2 linked regions of the Styela clava genome follow. The protein of the gene in region 1 binds, or shares a complex with, the protein of each later gene. Links are inferred from orthologs where the notes say so. Each region holds a gene or a part of one and is shown on either strand. Other genes may lie near its edges.

Region 1 (7,307 bases):
ACCCCTTGTTGCAACCACTATGGGTATAATAGAGATTGGCATTTTAACATGAAAAAATTGGGAATCTGTAAAATCCCATTCGAAAGAATAATGAATGGGTTGAAATTTCAACATGAAAATATAACAATTTTGAATTGAAAATATAATCTGAACGAAAAGCTCTTTTTTCATAAAATTTCCTCACATATCTAACCCCAAATAATGAATATTAAAAGATAAACTAAACCATACATCATATACTAATCATACCATTCTTCATTAGAAGTTTCAGTTGATCCCCTAATGTTTCATTTTTCAACAGAGATAAAGATAGAACATTGTCAGGTATTGCACTGTTATCAACTGAATGTTCATCATATACTGGAATTAGTTTGGTGAGGTATTCATGTGGTGTTTGTACCATTTCAGAGAAAGCTGTAAAAAGAAACATACGATACCGAGTCAGGCTGTATTCAAATCTCAGCAAAATTTAGAATTTCAAATCATTCAAAACAAAATTATAAATTATACCTGTAAGAGCTGGGCTTAATTTATCGTCAGGTTGTCTAGTGTTTTGGCAAATAAGTCTCTGTCTTTCTCTTTCTGCATAACTGTCCTTTAAAAATATGCAATAAGATTTCACATTATGATAAGAGAATTTTCCTGTTATGTCAAAAAAAAATTTAAGCCCTCTCAATATTGTGATAAATTGCAATTTGGTTAAAGAAACACATGAAATGTTTTGAAGCTATATTTTTGAGTTGTATTGAACTTTGGGCAAATACACAATAACTCAAAATTGTAATCTCTCCATTATGCAAATAACAGGAAAGTTTAATTAATAAATAGAAAATTGATTTCATTGGAAACCATCCATACCACATAATGTTCAAAACACATGTGCTCAATATTTGTAACTGTCTCACCAATTTATGGTGTACTTTAACTTCTATCCATTTTTCATCTGCAATTCTTTTTTCATAAGCAGCATAAGATCGTTCTCGAGCCAATCGAACTGCTTCTGATTCAGCTCCTTTCACTCGAACGGTTACAGCCTTAGCTTCTTCTGCCTCATCTTGGGACGAATCTTCCAAGAAAATTAGATATATCCTTATCATTTAATAAAATAACATCATAAGAAATAAAAAAAATATATAAAAACTTACATGAAGTTTAATACATACATAACTAAAATAATTTTAGCAGGCTAGCAATGTTTATTTATTTAGGATAGAAGACCTAGACCTTGTTCATTAACTGCTGCATATCCGTGGGAAATGTAGACATGAAAGTCATTATTACCTGCTTCGGCTGCAGCTTTGGCCTTTGCAGCTTGTGATGCTCTATGTTCCGCTCTATCCATATATTTAAAACTTGGCTTAAGTTGCATGACATGAGATATTGGAGTCAGATGTACCTCATCTATAAAAATGTCAAGTAATTTTAGTGGTTTCTTAATCTTTTATTTGATTTCTTAATAGATATTTAAAGTAAGATAGTAGAACATGGCTGTAACTTTCACCAAGAAAGACTAGGTTTACCATGTTGAACAATAGCAGATACATATCGTTTTCCTCTCGCTGGCACGCAGCTTGATTGTAACGTCTGTCTGTCCATAACATTTGTATCGAATGTGGTTGATGCTTGTATTGTTCCGACATTTCCATCAACATTCAATGCAATCTGCTCTCCTTTGCTTTGGTCATAGTTTGGACTGCTGATGTCAAGTGATACATCCATTTCAATCTGGATAATGGAAAAAACAAAGTGAGATATGGTGCTCACAACAATTAGTAAAAAGGAACGTGTCTCCTTATGTGACAGTTTTGAAATTTTTTTTAGATGTTCTATTGCAGCTAACTAAGGCATACAAAGATATCTATCAACATTTCTCCATTAACAAGTTTGACTTTGCACATCAGCAAGCTTAACATGAAATTACACCCAGTTAATAATTTTAACAGAATAACCTGACTGGTTATTAACCAAAGTTAGCATAAATTTTTGATAAAAGACCTGCCAACGATAAGGAAAATTAAACAGTGAATTTACTTTATTATTTTGTGGTTTGATTTTGGCCGTATCTCGATCCTGAGACCCATATTTTCGTTTTACACTTTGCACTGGATATTGCAGCAAGTAAAGGCGTCCAGACAAGCTTTTGGACAAATAGACATCAAACTGAAACAATAAATTTAGATTCATTATTAGGGTCCATTGTATATACAGATTGATCCTATGGTCCAATATAGTTCATTTCCAAAAGAAATGAAAGTACAGAAAAATCAACAAGAACTTAGATTTGAATTACAATAATATGTCGAGTAACATAGTGCATAATTTTGCAAAATTTCATCAAGCCTATGCATAGAAAATTAGAATGATAGATATTTCGACAGTTGACTAACTTGAGCCAAATATATTGGTGACAGAATGAATGAAATATCCATCCATTAACTGCATTAAGCGCTTCCTGCATGAAATTTTAATTATATCACCAAGAGTAAGACCTACCTCTTTCACAACTTCATCTTCTGTGGTGGTTTCCATTATCCTGTCATCTGACGATTAATCTTAAACTCTAACCACAAAACCAAGATTAAGATTGTTTGCCCTTATATCAGTATATTGTTACACAATTCAGCAGTTACAGAGTTTTGGAAGGTCTGTCAGTATGTGACAAAAAATGCATGAAATAAGATATTGAAAGCAATATTTAAAATCTGAAAATCCAAACGTACGGTAACGTCGCCGTGCTTTTGAGCGGCCTTGAGCATGGACTACCCGTACTGGGCACAGATACAAAATGAGGTCTGCATCATGTGTAGGGCTGCTACTTTTGTCTGACTAAAAACATTTAGATTGACCTCGAAAAACATCTAGATTGAAAAATAAAACATCTAGAAAATACATCTAGATGAAGTCATTAAATTTGATGAAAATCGACGAAACAAGAGCATACAAAGTTTGGGGCTCCCGAAGTATGCGAACCAAGATGGCGGACATCGGAATGTAATATGTGTACTAGGTTAGGGTTAGGCCATAATTTTAGGTATAAATACTACGGGAGGCTCTTGGCTAGTCTTCGAACTGATAATTTAATAGGACTAAAATAAGGAAAATTGGAAAAAAATTATCGCCTAACCCTAACCTGTTACGTTCTGATGTCCGCCATCTTGGTTCGCATACTTCGGGAGCACCCAAAGTTTAATATATTACATAGGATTAGATGTGGGAGAAGCTAACATCTGTTGATATTGTCACTTCAGAGGGGTTTTTATGAGTTTTTGCTGTACATATTTTTTTGACAACCAAATCAGCAACTTATAAGAAATGCAACATTCAGTAAATCTGTCTTTACAGCTTTATGCTCTTTCTCAGTTTATTTTTGTATGGTTCATAGCACTTTAAAGTAAAGAAAGGCAAATTCAATAGCATTTAAATAACTTTAGGCTATCATTTTAAAATTCTGAAGTGAGCAACTTGAACTACCGAATTATTCTCACCACCTGGCAACAATACAAATATACAATACTAAACATTGATTCATCGGACCAACGTCCACCTTTCTATTAAATTATGTAACTGAAACGTCACATGTTCTAAACATGTTTAATTCGTTATTCGAATAATTTAATTACATATGGTACCGTACCCGTACCGGTAGACGAATACAATTTAATGATAGTCTACATCAATATATTTAACTTACTTCTAAGTCTGTAATTAATGAAATAATATTCATTCACATATTACTGCAGTACCGGTACTGTATTACAGTACGGTACCGTATTAGTCTATACACATCGTTTTATTTATTTCTCACTGGATAATATTCGGAACGTCGAAAAAAAACATCTAGACGCCAAATTTTACATCTAGATCTTGATATAAAACATAGAGTGGCAGCCCTGAATTCACAAGATCACGTGGAAACACCGCCAACAGTCGGACAGCACGGTAACATCTGAACATGTGTGTCAGTGTGTTGACAAGAAAAAAGCGAAAACAGTCATATCAGATCGCCGACAAAGGGTTGATTATCGAGAATGTGTTGCGAAAATACTGGCAGCGGTGGGATTCGAACCCACGCCATCGAAATGACTGGTGCCTTAAACCAGCGCCTTAGACCGCTCGGCCACGCTACCAAACCGCTCTCCCCAACGTTGAGAAGACAGTTCGTCATTCCGCCTATCGCCTCTTGGAGGGAGGGGGGGAATTAGTCTGGCGTATCAAAATTTCGCTTTTGTTGTTTCCTGAACTTTGAGGTCAAATCGTGTTTCGAGAGCAAGCTAACATACAACCATGGTTAACTGAATAGATACAACGATGTTCCGACCGTCGTCGGGTGCGGCCGTGGATACTTGAAAACACTAGAGCAGGGTGGTCCAAGGTTGCCGGCTCCGCGGGCCACAAAATTATTTTTGCATTGTTTGCGGGCCACAATAGTGCATAAAAAATAGGTAAACAGTGCAATGCAAAACAAACCCTTTTATTGTGCAAACACTTAGTTATTAGACATATAGCCATCCCAGGCTAATAGAATCTGCGTTCGATTTTTAGTTTTCTATGATGCATATATTGTTAGCATATATTCCCGACCAAAAAGATGGAAAGCTAGACAATAATTTAGACTGCCAAGCACATTATTCAACTTCGCTAGTTGCCTCAGCTGGCCATAACACTAGTCAATTCAGTGACATTAGTGATGTAACCGTAAATATATACTATGTAACAACATATCAAAAAAATTTTCTGATTAATTTTATTACGAAACAACACGGAGTGCGATTTTTTCATTACTCTTCGAATGCGACGCGGGCCACAGATAATGAAGCCGCGGCTAATATGTGGCCCGCGGGCCTGGGTTTAAACCACCCTGGACTAGAGAATGCTACGCACTGTGTGTTTCGTTATCTACAGTTGGATTTGTATCGCGTAATATCAACATGATCAAAGCCCAACCACCGGAATTAAAGAAGTTTATTGATAAAAGATTGGATTTGAGGTTAAATTGTGGACGATCTGTTAGAGGTGTTTTGCGAGCTTTCGATCCTTTTATGAATCTAGTTGTGGATGATGGAACAGAGCGCAGATTGTTGTTATACATGTACACGTCTCACATTTTAAAATTGAATTAGAAGGTATTGCCCGATTTTACATCGTGTTTTTGTTTTATTAAAATCTTTTGACTGTTTTTGGTGGACGGGCACGTACTTGTACGGTTTTACCTTTTTTATTAAGTTATGCCCGTTCTCCAGATCCTCTGCATTTTGTTTGTCCGTTTGTTGTTTTCTTTCAGAGTGACCGAAATAAAACTGATGTGTCCATATATTTGAGCATAGCTTTCTTGTTTCTGTAACGGTGACCAACCAGAAAAAAGTCAACGATGCATAACAATTGAAATTTTTAATCAATCATTTTATTTCGGTACTGACATAAACAACACAAAAAACATAATAGACAAATGTACGATGGTAATGGGAATATATGTTGTAGTGATAATTAATGTAATGAATATTGTTGTAGCACATATTTAAAAATAATGCAGAGATAGAATAAAGTTAAAAACGTACAAGTAGACTACGTGCCCACCTACCAACAGAAAAATACACAAAATAGTGAAAAACATGTGATTAAGATAAGCAGTCGTATCGCCTCCCTCAGAATAAATATTACCTAAACTAGCTAGTACGTATAAGCGACACGTTGTTGTATATTTTAGTGAAAATAATGAGTATGTAAATCAGTTTGTAAGTGTCAACTCTTCGTGTCAAAACGATGAGAACAAAAAGTGTCAAAACGTTTGCAAAATAGGCATCCAAAATTTTGCTATAGTAAAGTTATGTTAATCGTTGAGTATAGGAAAGATTATTCTGGGATCAAGCGTCGGGGAAACAACCATATACATGCGGGCAAATGGACGTTTCCCCGGCCCTTGAAAATACTTTTATCATCGCAAAATTTTTAAATATGATTTTGAGAGCGTTTTAGAGAGTTTGCGCTCTCAAACTGGTTCACATGTTTAAAACTATCATTTTAGTTCAAAACAATAAACAAGACCGGTATCTGAGCGGAAGAAGTGTCTGAACAGTGGGATAAATTCCCACGTCATTGTGAACTTATTGATGATTTGTTATTGTTGTGTAAATAAACAAGAAAATCGATGCTCGGATATACATTCATTTCAAAAGCCCCGAAGTTTTATTTTATCTAACTACTTTTCGGTCGTATATTTAGGCACTTATGTTAAATCATCAGTTGTAATTATTTACGGTTAAATCGTAAATATGGTTAAATAAATAAATGAGGTATCGACACGCCTCAACGACCTTTGGTTGCGCAATACCAGAACCGATTTCTGGTTCACATTCTAGTGAGAAAGGAGGCGAGAACACTTCATCGCGGTACAATAATATCATCAATAACACTGGGGTACAATGGAGCATGATTCTGTCGCAAAGGTAAATTTCATTACGGTATTACCTATTATGTTATTGAAATTCCTCATTTCAGGGAGATGAATACAGAACAAAATTTTATTTCATTCAGATGGGCTATTTGTGCATTAAAAGACTAATAACTCTGCGCAGGTTAGAATTATGTAAGGAAAAATTAATTGCAGAAGATTCCTGAAATCCTTGTTGTCATAGAGTGGTTACTGTATCGCTTCCTCATCATCATTTCTCTCTCTTCTGCCTTTAGGTTAAAAATCATATTCTGCTCTTATTTCAGCTCGAGTTTGTTGTCTCAATGACTTGTAACACTTGCGTGGAAAAGGTAGAGAAAGTGCTTTCTGGAAACTCCAAAATAATCGGATCCAAGATAAACCTCAACATCCAGCAGGTTGGCTAATTATAGCAAGGAGAATATAAATAACTATAAGTTTGAATCAACACAACCTTATAAAGACTTACTGTGTAAATAACCAGATATGGGGCATGTTGCAGTCTTCAGCTTCATTACTGTAATTTCCCTAGTCATATTCTTCACGAAATTTCTATGGGCTTCCGCATTTCAAATATTCTATTAAAACTAAGACAGTGTTACAGTCACTATTGAATTTGGACTGAAAGTTATCTTGGATTCAGTTTTCAAGTTGTAATAATTCAAGTTTATGTTTCAACATTCCCTATTTCATGAGCATTGTCCATGTTTAAAAATTGATAGTAGCCTACAATAATTACAAAATGAATTTTAAACTATTTTATTCAAACAACAATCTCCTTTCACAAACAGTAGTGCTGATAAAAAGACACATTTTTGTGACTATATTTATTCACTAGGTAGTTGTTGACACAGCACTGCCTTTCGAAGATGTACAAAAA
Region 2 (7,268 bases), on another chromosome or scaffold:
AAAGCAAAAGTACATTTTAAGAAGTTTATTATTTCTCTTCCTAAGCATTATTTTTGTATCAACTTCTACCAGTCAATACTATTGTTTGTGTAACAGTTTCAGAATATGAAATAATAATAATTTTGTCTTGGGATTTTTCCTTTTCAGTGTCTGAACTTGCTGTAAATTTATGCTTTGCGCAATAAAGTGATATAAAAGAGCTGTAAATTTATGCTTTGCGCAATAAAGTGATATAAAAGATTAATTGCCTCATGTTAGTCAAATGTGGCTCTTGAAACCATAATGTTAAAAACTATCACTTTCCCATTGATACAAGACTTTGATTGATTTGAAGAAATAGACAGGAAGTTAACAAAGTGCAATTTAAAAAATTATCTTTCATTCCATTACATCTGAAAGGTGACTCATAACATCTATTTTGACTGAAGATTCCTTTGCCTAAAAAATTGAACTATAATCACTCAATTCCACAGATACAAATATTACTGTAAGTCATATGCGTACTCAGCATTTCATTTTTAATTTAATGTCATTCTTACTTTAAAAATTTAAACAAATATAAAATAATAATGAAGCGAAGCCTAAATAGGATCATTACAGTAGTTTTGTGTTATTTTAAATATTGACTCAATAATGTCTAGAAAAATAATTCATGTTTGGGTTTGCCTTATTAAATGCTCCATATCAGGAGTACAAATTATTATATTCGAAATATTACCTAAAACAGTCATATGTCCCTGCGCAGAATCCTGGCCTTCAGGTGGTAAACGTACGGACACAAGTTCTTCCTGAAATGACGAATGAGTCCCTTTGGTCAGATCCAGTATTATATTTCCCAATAACAGTCTACATTTACCGGACTTCATTACCTGAAGTTTACCGACACAGCCTTCTGATAATTCTTCCAGTGTACAATGTTTATTTTCCGCATTTGCAACATCAAGACCGGGTTCCTGTTTTACTTTTCCAGGTTCTATTTTAATTCCGGGCTCAGTTTTAATGTGTGTATCAGTGGAAGGTGGTACAGCAGGTAGAGTTATTATTTCTCTTCCTAAGCATTATTTTTGTATCAACTTCTACCAGTCAATACTATTGTTTGTGTAACAGTTTCAGAATATGAAATAATAATAATTTTGTCTTGGGATTTTTCCTTTTCAGTGTCTGAACTTGCTGTAAATTTATGCTTTGCGCAATAAAGTGATATAAAAGATTAATTGCCTCATGTTAGTCAAATGTGGCTCTTGAAACCATAATGTTAAAAACTATCACTTTCCCATTGATACAAGACTTTGATTGATTTGAAGAAATAAACAAAGTTTGCTTACAATTTTAAAAATTATCTTTCATTCCATTAGATCTGAAAGGTGACTCATAACATCTATTTTGACTCGAGATTCCTTTGCCTAAATAATTGAACTATAATAACTCAGTTCCACAGATACAAATATTGTACTCAGCATTTCATTTTTAATTTAACGTCATTCTTACTTTAAAAATTTAAACAAATATAAAATATTAATGAAGCGAAGCCTAAATAGGATCATTACAGTAGTTTTGTGTTATTTTAAATATTGACTCAATAATGTCTAGAAAAATAATTCATGTTTGGGTTTGCCTTATTAAATGCTCCATATCAGGAGTACAAATTATCTTATTCGAAATATTACCTAAAACAGTCATATGTCCCTGCGCAGAATCCTGGCCTTCAGGTGGTAAACGTACGGACACAAGTTCTTCCTGAAATGACGAATGAGTCCCTTTGGTCAGATCCAGTATTATATTTCCCAATAACAGTCTACATTTACCGGACTTCATTACCTGAAGTTTACCGACATAGCCTTCTGATAATTCTTCCAGAGTACAATGTTTATTTTCCGCATTTGCAACATCAAGACCGGGTTCCTGTTTTACTTTTCCAGGTTCTATTTTAATTCCGGGCTCAGTTTTAATGTGTGTATCAGTGGAAGGTGGTACAGCAGGTAGAGTGTCAGGTAACTGAAATATAAGAACGTCTGTTGGATCCTTTGCTTCTTGTTTAAAAGCACTGCCAAGAAAAACATTACTGCATTCAATTGAAGATTCCGGATCGTTCATAGTCTGCTTTGATATGCCTGCTCCAGGCGGCCACAATGATGAGAACATAGGAAGAGATGTTGGCATCAGAGAATCGTCGTTTTCTAAATCAGCAATGAATAAAGAATCCCCCTCTAAATTTTTCAATGCTTCTTCAGTCTTTGATTTCTCTAAATCTTCATCGAATATTTCCTGTTTTATACTTGGTTTTTCAATTGCATCTTTTGATGCTCCTCCACCACCTCCCGTCCCAAAACCTGCATCGTTACGTTTTGCCACAGGTTCTGCACTAGGTCCCGCTTCAAAGATAGAATGTGATTGAATAATTTCAGGTCTGCCCCTGCCACGCCCCCTACCTCTTCCTCTTTGTCTATCCCGTCTGGAGCCATCCTTTTTTGATCTTGTTGAAACTTCATCTGTCTTTTGTTCTTGCTTGCTTCTCTCTTTTCTCACTGGGATGTTAGGAGTAAAAGTCTTTTTCCTGACACCACCAAGGGTTAGATCCCTTGGACCACGCAGAGACGGTAAACGTCCAGGGCGTTCAGTTGAACGCGGCATTAGTGCTAGTTTTATTTCAGTATTATTTTAATTTAAGGTTTGGGACTCAATGTTATGCAAATATCATTTATAAAGCATATTAATAATACTATATCAATTGTAATGAACACTGCAAAATATAGATATGAAACAAAATGATAAATATTATCTCAAAAGGAAAGGAAATAGGTCAATAGAGAAAACAACAACAGCTTAGAATCTAGCTCTAATATTTCCAGATAGAAAGGCTTTCTTAATTAATAATCATGGGTCACAAATTTATTAATATCATAGGAGTAGCAATAGCAACATTTGTTAAATTTAAAATACAACATCTAGCTAATGGAAGTCAGCCATCACTAAAGTAAATAATCATACAATTAGGTTGCACTGAATCAACCTAAAACAATACAATTTTCGAAATAAATTGATGGTAATAAAAATCATTTAGTAATAAATCATTATATAGCACTCTTAGATACCATAATTTGATAGCAAGAATCATGGAGATGAGATAACACTAATTTTTCCATATTCGATATCATGTAATGCGACAGTCTATAAATGTGGTATATTGCTCAAAACGACTTTTGAGCCCCTCAACTTTCAGTCATTAGTCAATAACTAGATATCCCAATAAATACAACTATGAATGTGTGCTGTCGCTCGGCAACTTGTTCATTGTTGACTAACCTCGGTGACCGAGTCGTACAATCATAGAATATTGATTATGCCTTAGCATTCATACAATTTTTTTCTTGAGAATCGCTAATTCACATTTAAACTCAAACTGAGTTTTACATTTGACTGTATGACAATAGATATAAGTAAATACGTTTATTTCCAAATTATATATAAATTTTTTTTTCAATTTTATTTAACATAAGTATAAGTTTATTTTGACTCCATAATCAGCATAACAGATGATAAAATAGTTGATAAAAACATTTAAAAAAAATTGACCGTAGCATACCGAATTTTGTTTATGTTATTTCTAACCCCCACCCTACTATGTCATCCATAAATTACGTCACTACGACGTCACAATCACGTCATAGAGCTTGCCATATATAGCTACCATCGTCCGAAATGGCATCTGCGCCGACGATACCGAACTCACTAACGCCAGCTGTCTCTCTCATATCGGGATCACTGCGACGAGAAAACGAGAGAAATAGCTTGCTCGATTTCGGGTGATCGTCTGCGCAATTTGGACAACCATCTGTACACTTGGGAGATATTTATTACGCCACTATTGTGTCTTAGTGACGTAATGTTTTGGTGACATAGTCAGGTGGGGGTTAGGAATGACATAATGCAAAAATTGTTGAGCCAGGCCATCTAGAAGTGCATGTGGTACTAAACTATACCGGACCCGGTTGAAGCGAGTGGAAGTGGTGACTCCTCTTCGGCCCATGGGCCGGGGCCACGACCCATCAAATTGGGCCTCGGCCCATCAGGCTATGGGCCGCGGCCCATCAAGTTGTGTAAAAAAACTATTCACTTGGCTAACACAAACAGTCCCCAAACTCATAATAGAACTATACTGTAAAAAATCTGAACAAAATTTTGCCCAAACCCTAACCTGGTACACATACTACAGGAGTTTATTTTTTGGTTCGAATATTGACAATTTTGTAAAAATTGAAAATTTTGGTAAGATAATTAAATTTTTCCTGGCGGGTGGCGGGGCCGCGGCCCATAGCTTGATGGGCCACGGCCCATGTGGCCCAATTAGATGGGCCGTGGCCCCGGCCCATGGGTCGTAGAGGAGTCACCACCCCTGTAGGTTGAAGCCTACAGAATTTAGGTTGGGTTTGCCGGAAATTAATTTACACTAACGCACATACAGGTACGGAGATATACTAAAATAAGAAAAAAAATTCCTTAATAAAAAAGAAAAAAAACTAGAAAATAAAATTGAATAAAATTTTGTGAATTATGGAATAGTAAAATAACATTTATTAGAAAGACATCGTCTAACTTATTTTTGCTGGGAGTCAAACATACCAAAAATCAGACATCGAATATGCCATATGTGATATAAATTTATTTCGACTCCATAATCAGCATAACAATAAAATGATTGGTAAAAATAAAAACTGATTATGAAATCAAGAGAGCAAACAAAACCTTAGATAAGATTTAAAACGTACAGAATGTACCGGTATATAAGATGGAAGTTTTGCCAAGAAGAAGCGGTGTGTGTTCACTCACCTTATGATAACGTATTTCAAATTTAAGAACTTTGTTCACGTTCCAAGGCAAACAAGGATTTACTTATTTATCCCGGGGGAAAGGAAAGCCGATAAGACGGCTTATTCATATGGCGAACTACGGCCTCTCGTCCGGTTACCATTCCAAGTCGGGTATGGGATTAGTTATATTGTTTGTTTTCGGAAGCATGGACTTGGCGGTGGGGGAAGCTGTACCCGACCAGCAGTTACGTGAACCACCCAACGACGGCGAGGAGTCCAACAATCCTCTCGTCCCTGCATGGGATTCGAACCTGCAAACCCACGCAGAGTAATTAGAGGTGCGGTGGCGAGCGTATTCGCCCGTTGAGCCACACCGCCGCGCCAAAGTATTATTATTTACTAGTACCGGTACAGTAAGGTCAAGTACCGGTACCTACCGGACTGTCCTACATGAATTCCAAACCATACCGGTACGGCGGGTACCGGTACCTCTATTGAATACGACATCCTGTACCGGTAAATGTAATAAACTTTAAAAGGTGGTATGTCATATGCCGCGCATGCTTATGGAAAATGTGGCACATAGCAATTGATTGTAAATAGACGTGATGGATGTTTCCCCGACCCTTGACCCCTCCTTATACTTTACTGTTGCAAAATGTTGTATCCTTATTTTAGATAGGATAGGATAGAATTTACATATTTATCCCGGGGGAGAGGAAAGCCGATAAGACGGCTTATCCATATGGCGAACCACGGCCTCTCGTCCGGTTACCATTCCAAGTCGGGTATGGGATAAGTCAAATTGTTTGTTTTCGGAAGCATGGACTTGGTGGTGGAGGAAGCCGTAACCGACCAGCGGTTACGTGAACCACCCAACGACGGCGAGGAGTCCAGCAATCCTCTCGCACATAACCATCCCTGCATGGGATTCGAGCCTGCGAACCCACGCAGAGTAATTAGAGGTGCAGTGGCGAGCGTATTCCTAACGCTTAGCCCGTTGAGCCACACCGTCGCGCCTTTTAAGACTGTTCAGATTCAGATTCAGATAATTTATTTTCGTCGTGCAAGAAACATTATGAACAACACAAGCATAGTAAATCAAGGCAAAAGAAAACAACAGACACATAATGTTTCGACTGCAATTAACGAGGAGCCGCGAAAGACTATCAAGTCATCGTGTCAGCGACACCATTAAAGCTGAATGACGTCAAAAAAACGTCAAATGATTAAGGTTGAGTTATATATGATCAGGGCAAAAATTTGGAAAACGTAAATCGAATCGAGAGAGTAAGCCAAATGAGAAAAGTTTAAATAAAAAGTATGAATGGAATCAAGAGAGTCGGGGAAGAAATGATTAATCTAGAATTAAGTTAGCTCAGGGGAAATTTAGAAAACGTAAATCGAATCGAGAGAGCAAGTCAAAAGAGAATGGTTTAAAAAGAAATGTGAAGGGAATCGAGAGAGAAATGTTTAAATGGGAACAAATATCCATCGTGTCGAGTAAAAGTCAGAAAAAACGCGTTTACGATAAATCAGTATGTCAGTCTCGCAGCGTCATGCTCGGGTGATCGCAATCACAATATGAAATTGTTGACTGGCAGGACGCTGCAGAAACTTAGCAACTGAAGGGGAATTCCCAGCAACCATAACAGGGGAAGCCGGGTTGGATTAAGTATCAGTACTGATACGGCAATATATAAATAAATAAATATATAAGTACAATTCAGACAGGAAAAACTGTTTTGATGGGAAAAGTTCATTCCACATGTACTTTGGGCAATGATGCGAACTCAGTGATAATGGTCGTGCTCTGTGAGGACAATAAAGAAAAATGGTGACAATGCCAATGGCATTAAGAGGTGAAAAAAGTCACGATCGTTTAGGTAAAATAGAGATCCTGGACCGAATGACCAGTTATAGAAAAATCGAGCCACACAAAAGGTGGGGGACATGGGTTGTATACGGTACACTACTATACTTATAAGGGATCTATACCACTTATTGAAGCAGACTAGAAGGATACATAGGAATCCAGGTAAAATTTTTTCAAAGCTTGTTTGAATGAATTGTAATTCATAATTCGAATGTTATCGGATACAGCATTCCATAATTTAACGCCTGTATATTTTATCGAATTTTGAGTACGTTTGGTTGAAAAATGAGTTACATAATAGGAACTACTGGCAGAGGATCGTGTTCTATAAGAATGCACGCTGCTTTGTTTCAAGAAATAATCAGTGAATGTAACAGGGAGTTTTTTGTTGTGATGTTGGTGCATCAATTTCAATATCTCTAATTTATAAATATCCACCATTTTAATAATACGAAGTTTATAATAGATTGGATCAAGTTGGGCATAAGGTCCACTGCCAGAGACAGCACGAATGGCCCTATTCTGCATTATTTCAATTTTGCGTAAAAGAGTTTTATCAGCGGAGCCCCATGCAGAAATACCGT

What was found. Proteins that work in one complex are often made in the same cells at the same time.
Region 2: DNA-directed RNA polymerase III subunit RPC5-like (region 1) and DNA-directed RNA polymerase III subunit RPC4-like share a complex: the UniProt entries of both Homo sapiens proteins name them as parts of the RNA polymerase III complex. The link is inferred for Styela clava from reciprocal best matches to the Homo sapiens genes POLR3E and POLR3D.

Annotation. Positions count from the first base shown.
Region 1 is NC_135260.1:20,672,501-20,679,807, reverse strand, and holds the start of DNA-directed RNA polymerase III subunit RPC5-like, read right to left. Parts: upstream 3,015-7,307; 5' UTR 2,530-3,014; coding exon 2,494-2,529; intron 2,161-2,493; coding exon 2,032-2,160; intron 1,726-2,031; coding exon 1,521-1,725; intron 1,402-1,520; coding exon 1,282-1,401; intron 1,067-1,281; coding exon 906-1,066; intron 596-905; coding exon 511-595; intron 415-510; coding exon 250-414; intron 1-249. Other genes in the region: copper chaperone for superoxide dismutase-like, read left to right, coding at 6,420-6,443, 6,715-6,825, 7,266-7,307. UniProt on the Homo sapiens protein: DNA-dependent RNA polymerase catalyzes the transcription of DNA into RNA using the four ribonucleoside triphosphates as substrates.
Region 2 is NC_135255.1:8,600,496-8,607,763, forward strand, and holds DNA-directed RNA polymerase III subunit RPC4-like, read right to left. Parts: upstream 2,765-7,268; 5' UTR 2,632-2,764; coding exon 1,600-2,631; 3' UTR 502-1,599; downstream 1-501. UniProt on the Homo sapiens protein: DNA-dependent RNA polymerase catalyzes the transcription of DNA into RNA using the four ribonucleoside triphosphates as substrates.